2 linked regions of the Stegostoma tigrinum genome follow. The protein of the gene in region 1 purifies or fractionates together with the protein of each later gene. This does not show direct contact. Links are inferred from orthologs where the notes say so. Each region holds a gene or a part of one and is shown in the gene's direction. Other genes may lie near its edges.

Region 1 (6,586 bases):
TCCATATTATGTTTTGACTTTTTTAATATTTGTTCAAGTGATGTGGACATCACTGAAAGCAATTATGGCCCATCCCCAATTGCCCAGAGTTGAGAGTCAACCACATTGCTGTGGGTCTGGAGTCGAGTGTATGCCAGACCAAGTAAAGATGGCAGATTTCCTTCCCTAAAGGACAACCAGATGAGTTTCACTGACAATTGACAATGGGTTCATGATCATCATTACATTTCTAATTCCAGATATTGTTTGAATCCATATTCCACCATCTGGCACAGTGGGATTCAAACCCGGAACCCCAGAACATTACCTGGGTTGCTGGATTTATTGTCAGGTGATAATGCCACAAGGCCACCATCTCCCCGTTTCTGCATTAGCAAAAGTCCTGGATGCATATGCTATTGGGCATTCCTCTCCATTGGGCCACCTATGAACTAATAGCACCCCAATACCGTACAGGGAGGAATCACATGTCAAAACCAGATCTTGCTTGGCATCATAGTGGGCCAACACCTGAAGGATGAGAGCTGTTTCTTCACTTGCCTGAAAGATATGGCTTGGCTACACAACCATTTCCAAGGCTGACCCTTTTTCAAGAGTTGATGCAAAGGCGCCAGGATGGAGGCCAGGCTATGTATGAATCTTCCATAATTATTTGCTAGTCCAGGGAAATACCTAAGCTCTGGTAAAGACATAGGAGCCAGGGCACCTGTGATTGCCCTCACTTTATCTTCCAACAGGTGTAATCTGTCTTGTCAACTTGTAGCACTCAAGTCTCTTGGGGCCCCTGGAACACAATTTTTTTCCCTTGTAAATCATGTGCCTGCATATTAGAAATGTCTAAGGATTATGTCCAAGCTCGCTAAATGCTCCTTACTGGTCTTCCCCGTCATTAGCACATCACTGAGATAAATGGTGACCTGAGGAAGACATTGTAAAATATTTTACATCATCTACGGAAAAATTACAGAGGCTGACAAATCCCCAGGTGGCAGCATTTTATATTGGTACGAGTCCTTATGGGTACTAATTGTAAGGTGAATGACACTGTGCATGCCTTGCAGAATCATGGAATTGCTTCCTGGTCAACATGCAAGTTGGCCTTGACTCCTTTGACAGTCCCTAGACCTTCCTGAAAAACTTCCAGGCATTTAATTAGGACTTCACTAAGGAAGGACTTCACCATTTTCTACTCAAAAAATATTGAATAAATCTAGGTGAGTCTTTCTCAATCAGTTTCACCCAAGAAGCTTGGGCCTGAGCCTTTTACTATGATCAGTGTTAACTGAACCAGCTGCTTTTCATAAGAGACCGGAACTGAAGTTGTATTTTAATCTGTAAAGATTCCCTGGTATAGGCTCTCAGTATAGTCAAGGTATTGCACAAACTTAAGGTTTAGAGTCCGGAGTGAATTTTATTAAGGACTGGTTCTGTGATCAATGAAATGACCTTGCTGGTATCGACTTCCATTAAAACCAGGTGACCATTTAACCAGATGCTTATTTTGATTGCTTCTGATTTGGATTTTGCTAAGCAGTTTAACTGTTCCAAATCAGATGTCAATGGACTTTTCAGGGTATGCACTCTCCTGAATACTGGCCTATGAGTTATCTGACTTGATTTAGGTCTAATGGAGTCTTTTGCTGTCTCAAGTCTGCATACCAGCAGCAACTACAATGACTTGCTGGTCTGAATCCTGAAGAAAATTTTAATCCTCTAGCCAAGGCTTGGCTTTGTTTTAGGGTTTTGCTGCCTGCTGACCTAGAGTCCCACTATTCAGGATATGCCCTAAGTAATTGCCTTCACCCAGATGGTGTTCCCCAAGCTCAGGTGGACCAGTGAGGGTGTCCACTTCCATTGGAATATCCTGCAACTCACATGCTCCATTTGCCGCATTTTCAATGACAAAGCCCATTGCAGTGCCTATTTGATGTCAAGCTGGGCTTCAGCTAATAGGCGCTTTTGCATGGTCACAGATTTAATCCCACTCTCATCACCACTGAAATAACTCCACAGAGGTTGGTATCTGTCACCAAGCCACTCTTTATTCACACGTATTCTAGCTCCCTTAGAGCCTGCTCTCAGAGTGAGCAGGATGTCTGATACTCCTGCTTTTATCTTCCAGCCACTGGTCCCTGATTGAACCAGGTTAACAGCCCAAATCAGGAAATTCATATTTTGTGAGGTCCACCTGGTTTACCTCATTACAATCCTATCGTTATAAGTTTGGGTTGTTGAAGAGTGGGTTTGTCAAAAGGGAGTGGTCCCTCTGGAAGATAGAGGGAGATGAAAAGACTTTCCTGATGATGTCGTCATGCACAAATATCCAAGCAGGATCTTTTAGGGACAGAGACTGATGGTTAAAAATGGTAGATGATGGATCTCGAAGAGAAACTGTGTCATTGTTGAAGATCAGAGGCAAGGGATAATCCTTTTATTGGTATCTTGAAGGCAGTAATAACATAGAGTCGCAGTGGAAATGCAATTGTATGCGTGTGTGTGGTGTAAGAGTGGGAGGCAAAGATCTGAAGAAGATATAAATTTGTAACAATCGGTGAAATAATGGGTTTAAGTTGAACAATAGGTCTATACCTGAAGGGTTTTTGAAAGAGGATGCAAATATTTAGTTACATCCTAAGAAAATATCCTTGTATCATATAACAAAGACATTTTACATCAGAAGATTTGGGATTAGTTTAAGGATTGTAACTGAGAGAACTAAGCACTAACAGTGCAGAGGGAGATGGATTAGAGAAAGCAAGATGACTGGTACTTTTTTGAGCCATAAGATTGCAATTTTCCAATTAACACATCTGGATTCCCATCAACATGATGCAATATGGGAATCGAAAGGGTCATTTCCTGTTTGTCAAATGCTAAATTATAGTTCTCGCTGTTGGATCCTGATTGGATACTTTAAAGTTTCAACGAGCTGAAGTCATGCAGCTGCTGATTGGAAAGTATGATTTATTCCAGTGTGTGGGAAGGACAATTGAGCTGTGTGTGTGCCAACCAACTGCATGGAAAATTCTAGTGCCTGAATTTGGTATATCATCTGTTGTATTTTGTTATTATTCTAATGAGCACCAGAATGCCGTGCTAATCATCCTGAAATGTCAACAATGGCAGTGCAAGTTATACTGCAATCACAGTAATTACATGACAGATGTCGTACATGATTTCTGAAGAATTCTATGTGTCAAGTTTACTGGGTTTTATATTTATTCTATTCCTTGGTAAATGCCAAGTAACTTTTCAGGACATCACATCTTAGTGCTAAAATAAGTCTCATGCCATTGGAATGTTTCCTGAATGGGGTGAGTAGGTTCTGTGTTAATACTGACAAAGTGTATGAAACTGTCTTAATTGCTATCTTTCTTTGTAGTGAACCAAACAATGGTATGTGCGAGGCCTCAGAAAGGGGGTCTCTAAGGGGGTTAGGGATATGATACCCTGAAAACATTGAACAAATGAGAGACTGTAGCAAATGTCCTTCTGTATTTCAAGCAGATCCTTAATGAGTTCCCCCTGGGGAAGGGGGACTGTGGAAGAAAGTATGTGGGGCACTCTGGTTGGGTTTATATATGTTATTGGAACAGAAATCTTACTTGGAGTAAGGGCTCAAAGCTATTTTTAAACACTTATTCCATTTAACTCAATGTTATATGCAAAATTTAAATGGACATAAATTGTGAAGATCCGAACAAAATATTCACAAGTTGTTTCTAGGCTGTTTAATACAGGATTTCGATAGTGCTATGTTTCAGAATTGTTCAATTATACCAACATTAGGAAAGCATACATTTCTGATTGATTTTGTTCATTGAATGCTAGGTAAGCTTAACTGAAGGGCATATAAGGAAGTAATGGTAAATAGGCAAGACACAATATACTTTGACAAAGCCTATAACTTTTACACTCATGTCCTGTGTCTAGGAATCTGAATTTTGGATAAAATATCCAATGAACAGAAAAAGAATGCATCCTGATTTTTGTTTTTGGGGCATGAGTGTGAGGCCTACAAGTCAAGGAAACTCAAGCAGTCAGCATGAGTCTCAGAACTTTTATAACGTCATCACAAATTTAACATCGGGACAAATACCTCTGCAAAGAAGACTTGAGCCATTGTGCAGCTAAACTACCCTTTGTTATGCAACACAAGTGTCTCTTCATGTTTAGGATCTCTTCTGCTCTGTCTCACATGTCTGTTAACTTGTCTGGCCCTTAGACAAAGCACAGCAACAAGGATAGGGCTCTTGTGGTGCAGTGATAGTACACATATCTCTGAACCAGGAGTCCCAAATTTAAGTTCCAGCAATGTGTAACAACATCCTTGAACAAGATGATTGGGAAAATGTCTCGAAAAGAGGACTGCAGTCCCATGGAATCATTTATACCAACATTAGGAAAGCATATATTTTTCATTGTATTTGTTAATTAAGATTAAGTAGATTTGTGGATTTGCAGTCCAAGTAAGTTTTGTGACTTGGAGGAATCCGTGGGCCGTATATATTTAGATTGTAGTCGATTATAGAACCCTTTCTGTTTTTTTTAAAGAGCTGCTTCCAAGTTTTTGGTTTCAGTGGGAGTCTTCAGTGGGCAGAATCAAAGGGCCACATTTAGGTCTACATATTTGGTAAGATCAAAAGTGAGAATATAGAATTTTGCTTCTTTTAATTTAGGTAGTGGGATCACTAATTCAGTCCACTCTACTTGAAACTAGTTAAAATCATAATAATTGCTTCAATGAATAATGCTTTTAAATTGAAAATGTCCCAAGCCACTTCACAGTCATCTATGGAGAGAAAAAAATAAAGGTAACTTATCGAGTCAGTGACTCCATTCTGCTACAAGGTCAAAGAACTGAAATTCTGACTCCGTTTTTCTCAGTCCACAGATGCACAACACAAATCTTCAATTTGAGGCTTTAAGGACCAGAAGATGAAATAGGTCAGGACAGGAATGAATTAATTCTACATACAGTTGGATATTGGCAGGAAATTGGATGTGTTTAAGTGTTTGGTTAAAATAATAAATAAATATGTCTAGATATTTTTAATCAACACAATCCGACATGTTATTTATATTTATTCACGGGATGAGGGTGTTTCTGGCTAGGTTATTACTTATTACCCATCCTTAATTGCTCAGAGAGAGCAACTGGAAGTCTACCACATTGTTGATGGCCTGGAGTCATATGTGGACCATACCAGGTAAGTACAGCAGTTTCCTTCCGTAAAGGAACATTCGTGAACAAGTTGGGTTTTGTCCAGCAATGGTTTCATGTTCATTATTAGACTTTTAATTCCAGATTTTTATTCAATTCAAGCTCACTCCCTCCACTGTGGTAGGACTCAAGACTGCTCAGGACAATTTTGCATAAGCTCCTAATGGAGGCAGGCACCTGACTCATGATCACTTTAATTATCCCAAATTAGTTCATGATAATTGTACCTTTTGTTATTGTGCAATAAACAACACCTTGTTGAGCAACACAAGTGTCTCTTCATGTTAAGTATCTCTTCTGCTCTATCTGCACCTCTGTTAATTAGTTCGGCCCTTAGACTGAGCATAGCAACAAGGATACGGCTCTTGTGATGCAGTGATAGTACACATATCTGTGAGCCAAAAGGCCTAAATTTAAGTTCCAGTGATGTATGACAACATCCTTGAACTAGTTGAATGGGAAAATATCTTGAAAAGAGGACTGCAGTCCCACCTATTCATAGATTAAGTGGGTTTATGCATTTGCAGGCTACTTGTGATGTTTGAGACCTTGAGGAATCTGTGGGCCATATATATTTAGATTGCAATAGATTCTAGACACCTTCCTGTTTTCTAAGGAACTGCTTCCGAGTTTTTGTTTTCACAATGGCCCTACGTTCCTGTTCTTTGCAACCCTGGTTTGGGAGAGGCAGATAAATTGTAGGATCTCCCCCTGAAAATGCTCCTGAGTTAGCCAAGCCAGCTATTAACTGTGATAATGGGAACTGCAGATGCTGGAGAATCCAAGGTAATAAAATGTGAGGCTGGATGAACACAGCAGGCCCAGCAGCATCTCAGGAGCACAAAAGCTGATGTTTCAGGCCTAGACCCTTCATCAGAGAGCATCTGATGAAGGGTCTAGGCCCGAAACGTCAGCTTTTGTGCTCCTGAGGTGCTACTGGGCCTGCTGTGTTCATCCAGCCTCACATTTTATTATCCCAGCTATTAACTGGTCAGGGCAGCGGGTTGTAGATGGGTTGCCTGCTTCTCCTTCACAGTTACATTAATGCTAAGATGAGAGGCACCACACAGTGTCCTCTGCTGTGCTTCAGGACTTCTATGACTGGTGGGCATTGCTGGGGTGGGGTTACAACATCATCACCCTCAAACTAAAATTTAATTCAAATTTTGTAAGTTACCTTTGTAAGTTTGACCCTTGACACAGTGGACTTCAGGAGCTGTAAATTCCCCAAATTTTAGTTTGGTTAATTGTTTTAAGTTAAAAGTAGGAACATTGGTGCCAAAGAACTGTCTGAACAATAAGCCACCCATGGTTGGTACCAAGATCCCAATACAACAAAGTGAATAATGGTGGACAGATAGA
Region 2 (6,586 bases), on another chromosome or scaffold:
TGAGTATTGATGACTCAGCACCGACAGAAGGAGTTGTAAATGGTAAATGCAAATATATTTTAGCATGACAGCAAAATGGTAAAAAGCAAAACAAACCTTGTCACTATTTTCTATCTGATTGCTAACATTAACCTTTTGCGAAACTGTACCTACAGAGGAAAGCCAATCAGAAGACAATTACCTGTATAACTTCCATTCTCATGTTGTAAGTCTCTGATTGAACAGTTAATACAAATATTTCTCTGAACAATAAAAGCAAGCAATTATAAATGCTCTGTAACATGCCACTTATCAAACAATGCATTTAGTTTGAGCAGGCTAATGTGCTGTGCTCCTGTCTCCTTGATTTCCTCACTCTTAGCTGGAAATTGAGCAGCAACTTGCCATTACTTGCTTGTAAGTTGGCCACTTATGGGTGTCATTCGAGGTGAGGGAAGGCATGCCACATCAGGCCTCATCTGCCTCCCATAAAATTGCAACCAGGTCAAGGGTGGGCAAGTAGGGAACATGACTGAGAACTGCAGAATATTATGACCCTCCTTGGCAGAGGAAATAAAAAAATTCTGATCTAGCAACATCTTTGTTCTGGATGTCATGGCTGGTTTCTTAAGAGTGTAACAACTGTTATCTGGATCAGTTTGAAGTGAAAGTGCATTCCTGTCTTTTTGCTTATTTCCCTTTTGAAGGAAAGTGTCTGGTCATCTTTTGATACTTTTTCCATTCAGATTATTCCAATGGGATACATTTAAAGTTCAGTTCATTTTATATTCATCCATGATGTCCTGAACATTACAAACATTTCTGTCGCAGAAAGCTAACAACTTCAATACAAATTTTAAGGTTAGTTTATGGAAACACAATTCTAAAAATTGAAAACTCTCCTCTTTCTGGCTGTGGTTCCTTACAGTCCACTACTGTCATGAGACTGTTGACGAAATAAAAGTCTTGTCCGCCTGTTTTAATGAATTTAATAATTATTGAGATTCTTTTATGTGTAAGTCAATTGTGACCCTGCAGTCCAGAATGCTTAGAACCAAATCATTTCTGGATTTCTGACTTTTCTGCATTATCGAATGACATTCTGGCCTAATCATGTACATGAAACAGAAACCACTGTGGATGTACATTAGCTACCTTAAACATAAAACACTTTAAAGTAGTAAACCCAGAATGAGAAGATTGCCTTATTAGGAAGGGCTAACAGTGCATGCTTATAATCGCTGGAGTTTAGAAAAGTCAATTGAAATACTTGATTGAAATATTTAAGATCCTGACGAGACTTGACCAGATGAATGTCAAAAGAATATTTCCTCTTGTGGGAGAATCTAGGACTAGGAATCAGAGTTTAAAAATAAGGGGTCACACATTTAACATAGAGATGAAGAAACATATTTTGTCTCTGGGAGATTTGAATATTTTGGAATTCCCTTCCTCAAAAGGCGATGCATGCAGAATCTTTATTTTTAAGGCAGAGATAAATAGATTCTGTCTTTACATTTCTGATAATCCTTCATCCTTTTAGTAATCAAATTACCATTGTCTTGCCAGATCATTGGGTTCCTCTCTAAAGTGACAAGATTGATTGTGGTTTAACCTGAAGGTCACTATGCCTCAGGTAAGGGGAGAGGTTAAGGAGGAGAGTCCTTGTTAAGGAGGAGAGTCCTTTGTGGTTACCTGAGCTGGTGCAGAAAGTGAATCCACACCATTGATGTCACACTGCATTACAATCCAACCATCCAGCCAACTGAGCTAATCGACCCCAATGACAAGTTGAGGTTAAAATCAGGTCAGCCATGATCATCTTGAAATGGCAGAGCAAATTCAAAGGGCCAAGTGAACCTACTCTTGTTCCTTGTTCACATTGTTGTATGTTCAAAGTAATGAAAAGAATTTACTAACCCCAACACATCTTCATTTTTTCTGCTCTCAATATATTGTACTAAACTGACACATGAATGGCTCTGCTCAAAGAACTTCCAGACAACTGATGTTTCTAAACGGTAGATTTCCAGTCTGACTAGTCTAAACACTTATGCTATTCCATGAGAATTAGACATTCATAATTTTATGTAATAATGGAGTTTTGGAAAGATTTGTAAGGCTTTAATCAAAAAGCCATCAAAATTTGTTATAATTCAGCTTTGATAAAGTTTAATGTGGGTGTCCAGTTGAAATTGGTACAGATCACATCTGGGATTTCTACAACTCTAGAGGCCACATACTGTTGAGGAGTCTTGTACTATTCTTTAATGTACAATCAGTGAACTAGCTTTGTGCTTAGTATTGTTGTTTGAGTTGATGTAATAAGTGTAAAGAAATTTAATATAATCATCCTGGTATTACTTGCCCCGTCCAACTGAATTCTTTCTATCTCTAATTTTATTGTTTCACTTTGTCAAGGCTCATCCACCGCATCTGTAACACTGCCGGTGTCCTTTGCCACTTTTGACAATTTCCTGCTTTCTAACCCTAACTGTTTCCTTTTCACAATAGATGTACAATGTCTCTACACCATTATTCTTCATATGGACATACTGATAACATCATTTCATTGAATGGTGGCCCCAACACTTCAGATCTAGCACCATCCTGCTCTACCTGGTTGAACTTAATGTATGGCTGGCTTTTTAGTTACATGTGGAACATTTATTTTTTGAGTCCTACTTACTTTCTCCCCCATCTTTTTCTAGAACATTCACAGCTGTATCTATTTCCTCCCCATCCATCTCCAACTCCTCCTTCCCTCCCTTTCACCATCTTCTCCTCCTCTCCCCATCCTTTCTGACCTGGCGTCAGCCGCCTCCTCCCGTGCGAGGGATTGCTGTCCTGTGAGTCTGTCATGCGCAGTGGTGTCGTTGCCGCGGGCCGTGGTGTCGGCCGGCGCTGCTAACGTGTCACTGACTGAGCTCCACTCCCTCCCTCTCACACAGCCATGGAAGACGAGGAGAGACAGAAGAAATTGGAGGCCGGCAAAGCCAAGGTAAGAGTCCCTCACTTGCTGCGGCGGTGAATACTGGAGTCGGGATAAGGGAGGGACGGAGGCCGGCGCTGGTCGGCTGTTTTCTGTCTGGAAGGCACTAGTCCATGGCCCCGTCTCCAGGTGCAGAGGGATGAGCTTTAATATCTCTGTGCTTTCTAATTGGATCCGCAGGCTTTAGCCAACTGTAGGGGATTGTAGGCCTTTGGTAATCGTGCTTTTTATTGTTTACTTGAGGTGCCAGAAGGGCCTAGAGCAGGATCCAGGGCTTTGTTGTGAATTGAATTAAACGAGTTAATCAGAATCGATACAAAGCTATTTGCAAGGACGTGTCAAAGGAAAGATTGTACATTATAAATTGAACAGAAATTAAGTGTGTTAATGAAAGTTGTTTAAAGATTTTGCTTTCAGCGAAAACGGTTTGTTTCTGTTAACCGTGTTGGATTGGATGTAGCAGCTATTCGCAATGACAGCCCAATACATTACATACTTTCTAACGTCTTGAAGTACATTTAAGATAATACATCTTAAGAAGGCTGGAGTGAAAGTCACTTTAATGTAACAAAATTGCAGAAGTTTAACAACAACTTCTAAAGTATGTAATTGTTACATTTTTTCCAGATTTATAATTTAGTAGTGTTTAGTAATCCCATCAACAGGATTGGTACTTTAATAAAGGTATGCTGGAGTATTTGAACTGCCACCAGATTGTCTGATTATTATCATCTGTTTTGCCCAAGAAATTACAAGATTGTTTATGAACTGTGTGAGTAGTGACAGCTTTATTTCTGTGTGTGCTAAAATTCAATAGGCATAATCTCCCATTTTTATTGATGTACTGTAAATGTTTTGCATCACAGAGAAACTTAGATTTTCATATGGTTACAGAATGATTAAATGTGATAATTTCAGTAGCGTCTTTGTCTACAAGAATAGCCTCGTGCATATATATAGCATCTTATTGCATTCTCACATAATTCAATGCACTTGTGTATTTGTTTCCAGTGATAGTTGTAATCTTGCTGAGTGACGAATGAACAGGTGGGAAAGACAACCTTGAAGTTTGACATAGCTGCAGTAGAAGTTGGGGAAAACAGAATATAAAATGAATTAAATTAATCCATATTGATATAGCATGTGGATAAAGTATGAAAACAGTTTCTTTATTTGTTTCTGTGATATGCCTGTCATTATCAAGTTGTAGCTGCTGTTGACAAGGTTGTTGTGGGCCTTATTAAACTAGAGCAGTCTGTGTGATGAAAGCGGTCCCACAAATTTCACTGTTCATGATTGAGTGAAAGTAATTGATACGGCTTTGTTAGACCTCGGATGCTAATGTGAGAAACTTCTGCAATGATATCCTGAGGCTGATTAGAATCGGCAGTTGCCAAATGTTGTGTTGTGAAGTAATGTTTTACTCATTAAGCTGTTGCTTAGTCAAAGACTGAAGCAAATCTTTAAAGTCTTAGCATATTAGCAAAGTAGAATTCTTTCCCTCAGCCAATGGGATATTTAAGAAAGTTATGATAGTTACGAAAATGAGTATATTTCATGACATGGAGGGCAACTTTGAGTTTTGTTTACCAAAGTGAACACAAACTTTTTGAAGTGTGCATTTCCATGTTTCCATATCGATTTTAGCTTGTTGCATCCTCTTGATGAAGTATTAAAGTTCAACACACCACCTGCAAAATGGATAAGGTAAACTGTACAAAATTGGACAATGTCTAGAAAAAATCCTAATCACCAAATCTTAATCTACATGGTCAGTATCTTTGGAATCATGTCTGACTGGTGAAAGAGAAGCTGATTCAGAGTTAACATTTCAAGTCTGACATAATACTTTTGAACTGATTTGTGAAAAATGATCAGAATCAGCAGTTCCCAAATGTTGTTATGTAATGGTTTTGCACATTAATTAAGCTTTTTACTCAAAGAATACGTACTCTAGAAGAGTCAGAACAGACTTGACATGTTAAGTCTTTTTCTGCCTCTGCAGATGCTGCCAGACCTACTCCAAGTTTTTCTGTTTTCATTTCTGATTTCCAAAATCTTTAGTATTTTGCTTTTATATCTTTATCTTATGTTTACTACTTGCACCAAGTTTTGAAATATATATTTATATTACATAGAAAATATATTCCCAGATGTTCCTCTCAGCATTATCCTGGATTGGAAGTCATTCTGAATCTGTCATAATACTATTATTGTTGCTTCAGTTTTGTTTTTCTTCTCACATTGGAAAGGCTTTGAAAAAGATGTGTAAAGTTTGTTCAGGGAATGAATTCTTGCTATAGTCCCAACTTAGTTGACTGAATCACTTGGTTCGTACTGGTTTAGATTATGGGAATGTAGGAACAGGAATAGGACCATTATGCCTTGAATTCCGGTTCTACTATTCATGGCTAATCTGTACCTTCACTGCACGTGCTTTGACTCAGACTCCTTTTCTATTAATGTCCAGCATGTATCTATCTCTGATTTAACATATTTAATTGAGCTAGCATCTACTCAATTAATTGGAATTCCAAACTGTTTCCAAGACCCATGATGTCAGACGGAAATTAATTTGATATTTGAAGGAAATTGCAGGGGTATGGGGATAAAACAGCACCTGAACTGACTGGATTATTCTTTGCTTAATGTCACCTACTGGAAGGGACATGTTTCTCTCCATTAACCATATTATTTCCTTTCAATATCTTAAAATTCCTTGGTCAAATTACCCCTTAGCGTTGTATGCTCGAAGCATTGTGCAGAAAGATGATGCAAGCAACAAAATCATTACTATTGGAAATGAAATATAACATAATCTGTAATACAGAATTGTTTGCAACATCTTTTCCAAACGAGACTATATTAAACAATTTGTATTCTAGGCATGAGGGAATATGTATAGGATTAATTGTCATTATTTACTATAATGTTTTAGTTTCTGTTTATGTGAAGAAAAATGTAAGATCTTGTATCTCTAAAGATTCTGATAATCTGAAAAGTCATGATCAAATTTTCTATTTTCAGCTTGCCCAATTTCGACAACGGAAAGCCCAGGTCAACCTTCATAATCCGGGAAAAAAACAAAAGAGAAAGAAAAAAGTAGTAAACAAACCGGAGGAGCAGGTGGAGTACGTCACACCTAAACATCAGCAACAGGATGCTAAAACTAGGGCAGAGAGTGGTCCACTAGGAGATGGAGAGTTCATAATTAATAGGATTTTACACAGTGGAGATGTAATCAAACAGGACCAGACCTATATGTTTGAGGTGAGAATTATTTGTGCTTTGTTTTTCTTCAATTTAATAAGATGTGACAAATTCATTTATCGTGTGCTTATATACCATGTAGGATTTGTGTGGTGTTTTTTTATAGTTTTACAGTAAGAGAACAAAAGCCTAATATTTTCCCAGTTCTGCTAAGTTCATACATTATGTGCTGTGGGTAGAGGGTGTTTCATTAAGTACCAAATTCATATGTTTCTGATTGGAAGAGTAGAATTTTGTTATAACAAGGTGTAGAGCTGGATGAACACAGCAGGCCAAGCAGCATCAGAGGAGCAGGGAGGCTGACGTTTCAGGCCTAGTCCCTTCGTCAGAAAGAAAAATTTTTCT

Evidence for each region.
Region 2: the proteins of cAMP-dependent protein kinase type II-beta regulatory subunit (region 1) and akap9 purify together in Homo sapiens (affinity purification with mass spectrometry; 3 studies listed by BioGRID and IntAct, counting the BioPlex papers as one, with this or other methods). This does not show direct contact. The link is inferred for Stegostoma tigrinum from reciprocal best matches to the Homo sapiens genes PRKAR2B and AKAP9.

The regions. Positions count from the first base shown.
Region 1 is NC_081378.1:35,347,693-35,354,278, reverse strand, and holds the start of cAMP-dependent protein kinase type II-beta regulatory subunit, read left to right. Parts: upstream 1-3,136; 5' UTR 3,137-3,314; intron 3,315-6,586. UniProt on the Homo sapiens protein: Regulatory subunit of the cAMP-dependent protein kinases involved in cAMP signaling in cells. Type II regulatory chains mediate membrane association by binding to anchoring proteins, including the MAP2 kinase.
Region 2 is NC_081355.1:108,967,273-108,973,858, reverse strand, and holds the start of akap9 (A-kinase anchor protein 9), read left to right. Parts: upstream 1-2,852; 5' UTR 2,853-2,932; coding exon 2,933-2,980; intron 2,981-5,998; coding exon 5,999-6,241; intron 6,242-6,586. UniProt on the Homo sapiens protein: Scaffolding protein that assembles several protein kinases and phosphatases on the centrosome and Golgi apparatus. Required to maintain the integrity of the Golgi apparatus. Required for microtubule nucleation at the cis-side of the Golgi apparatus.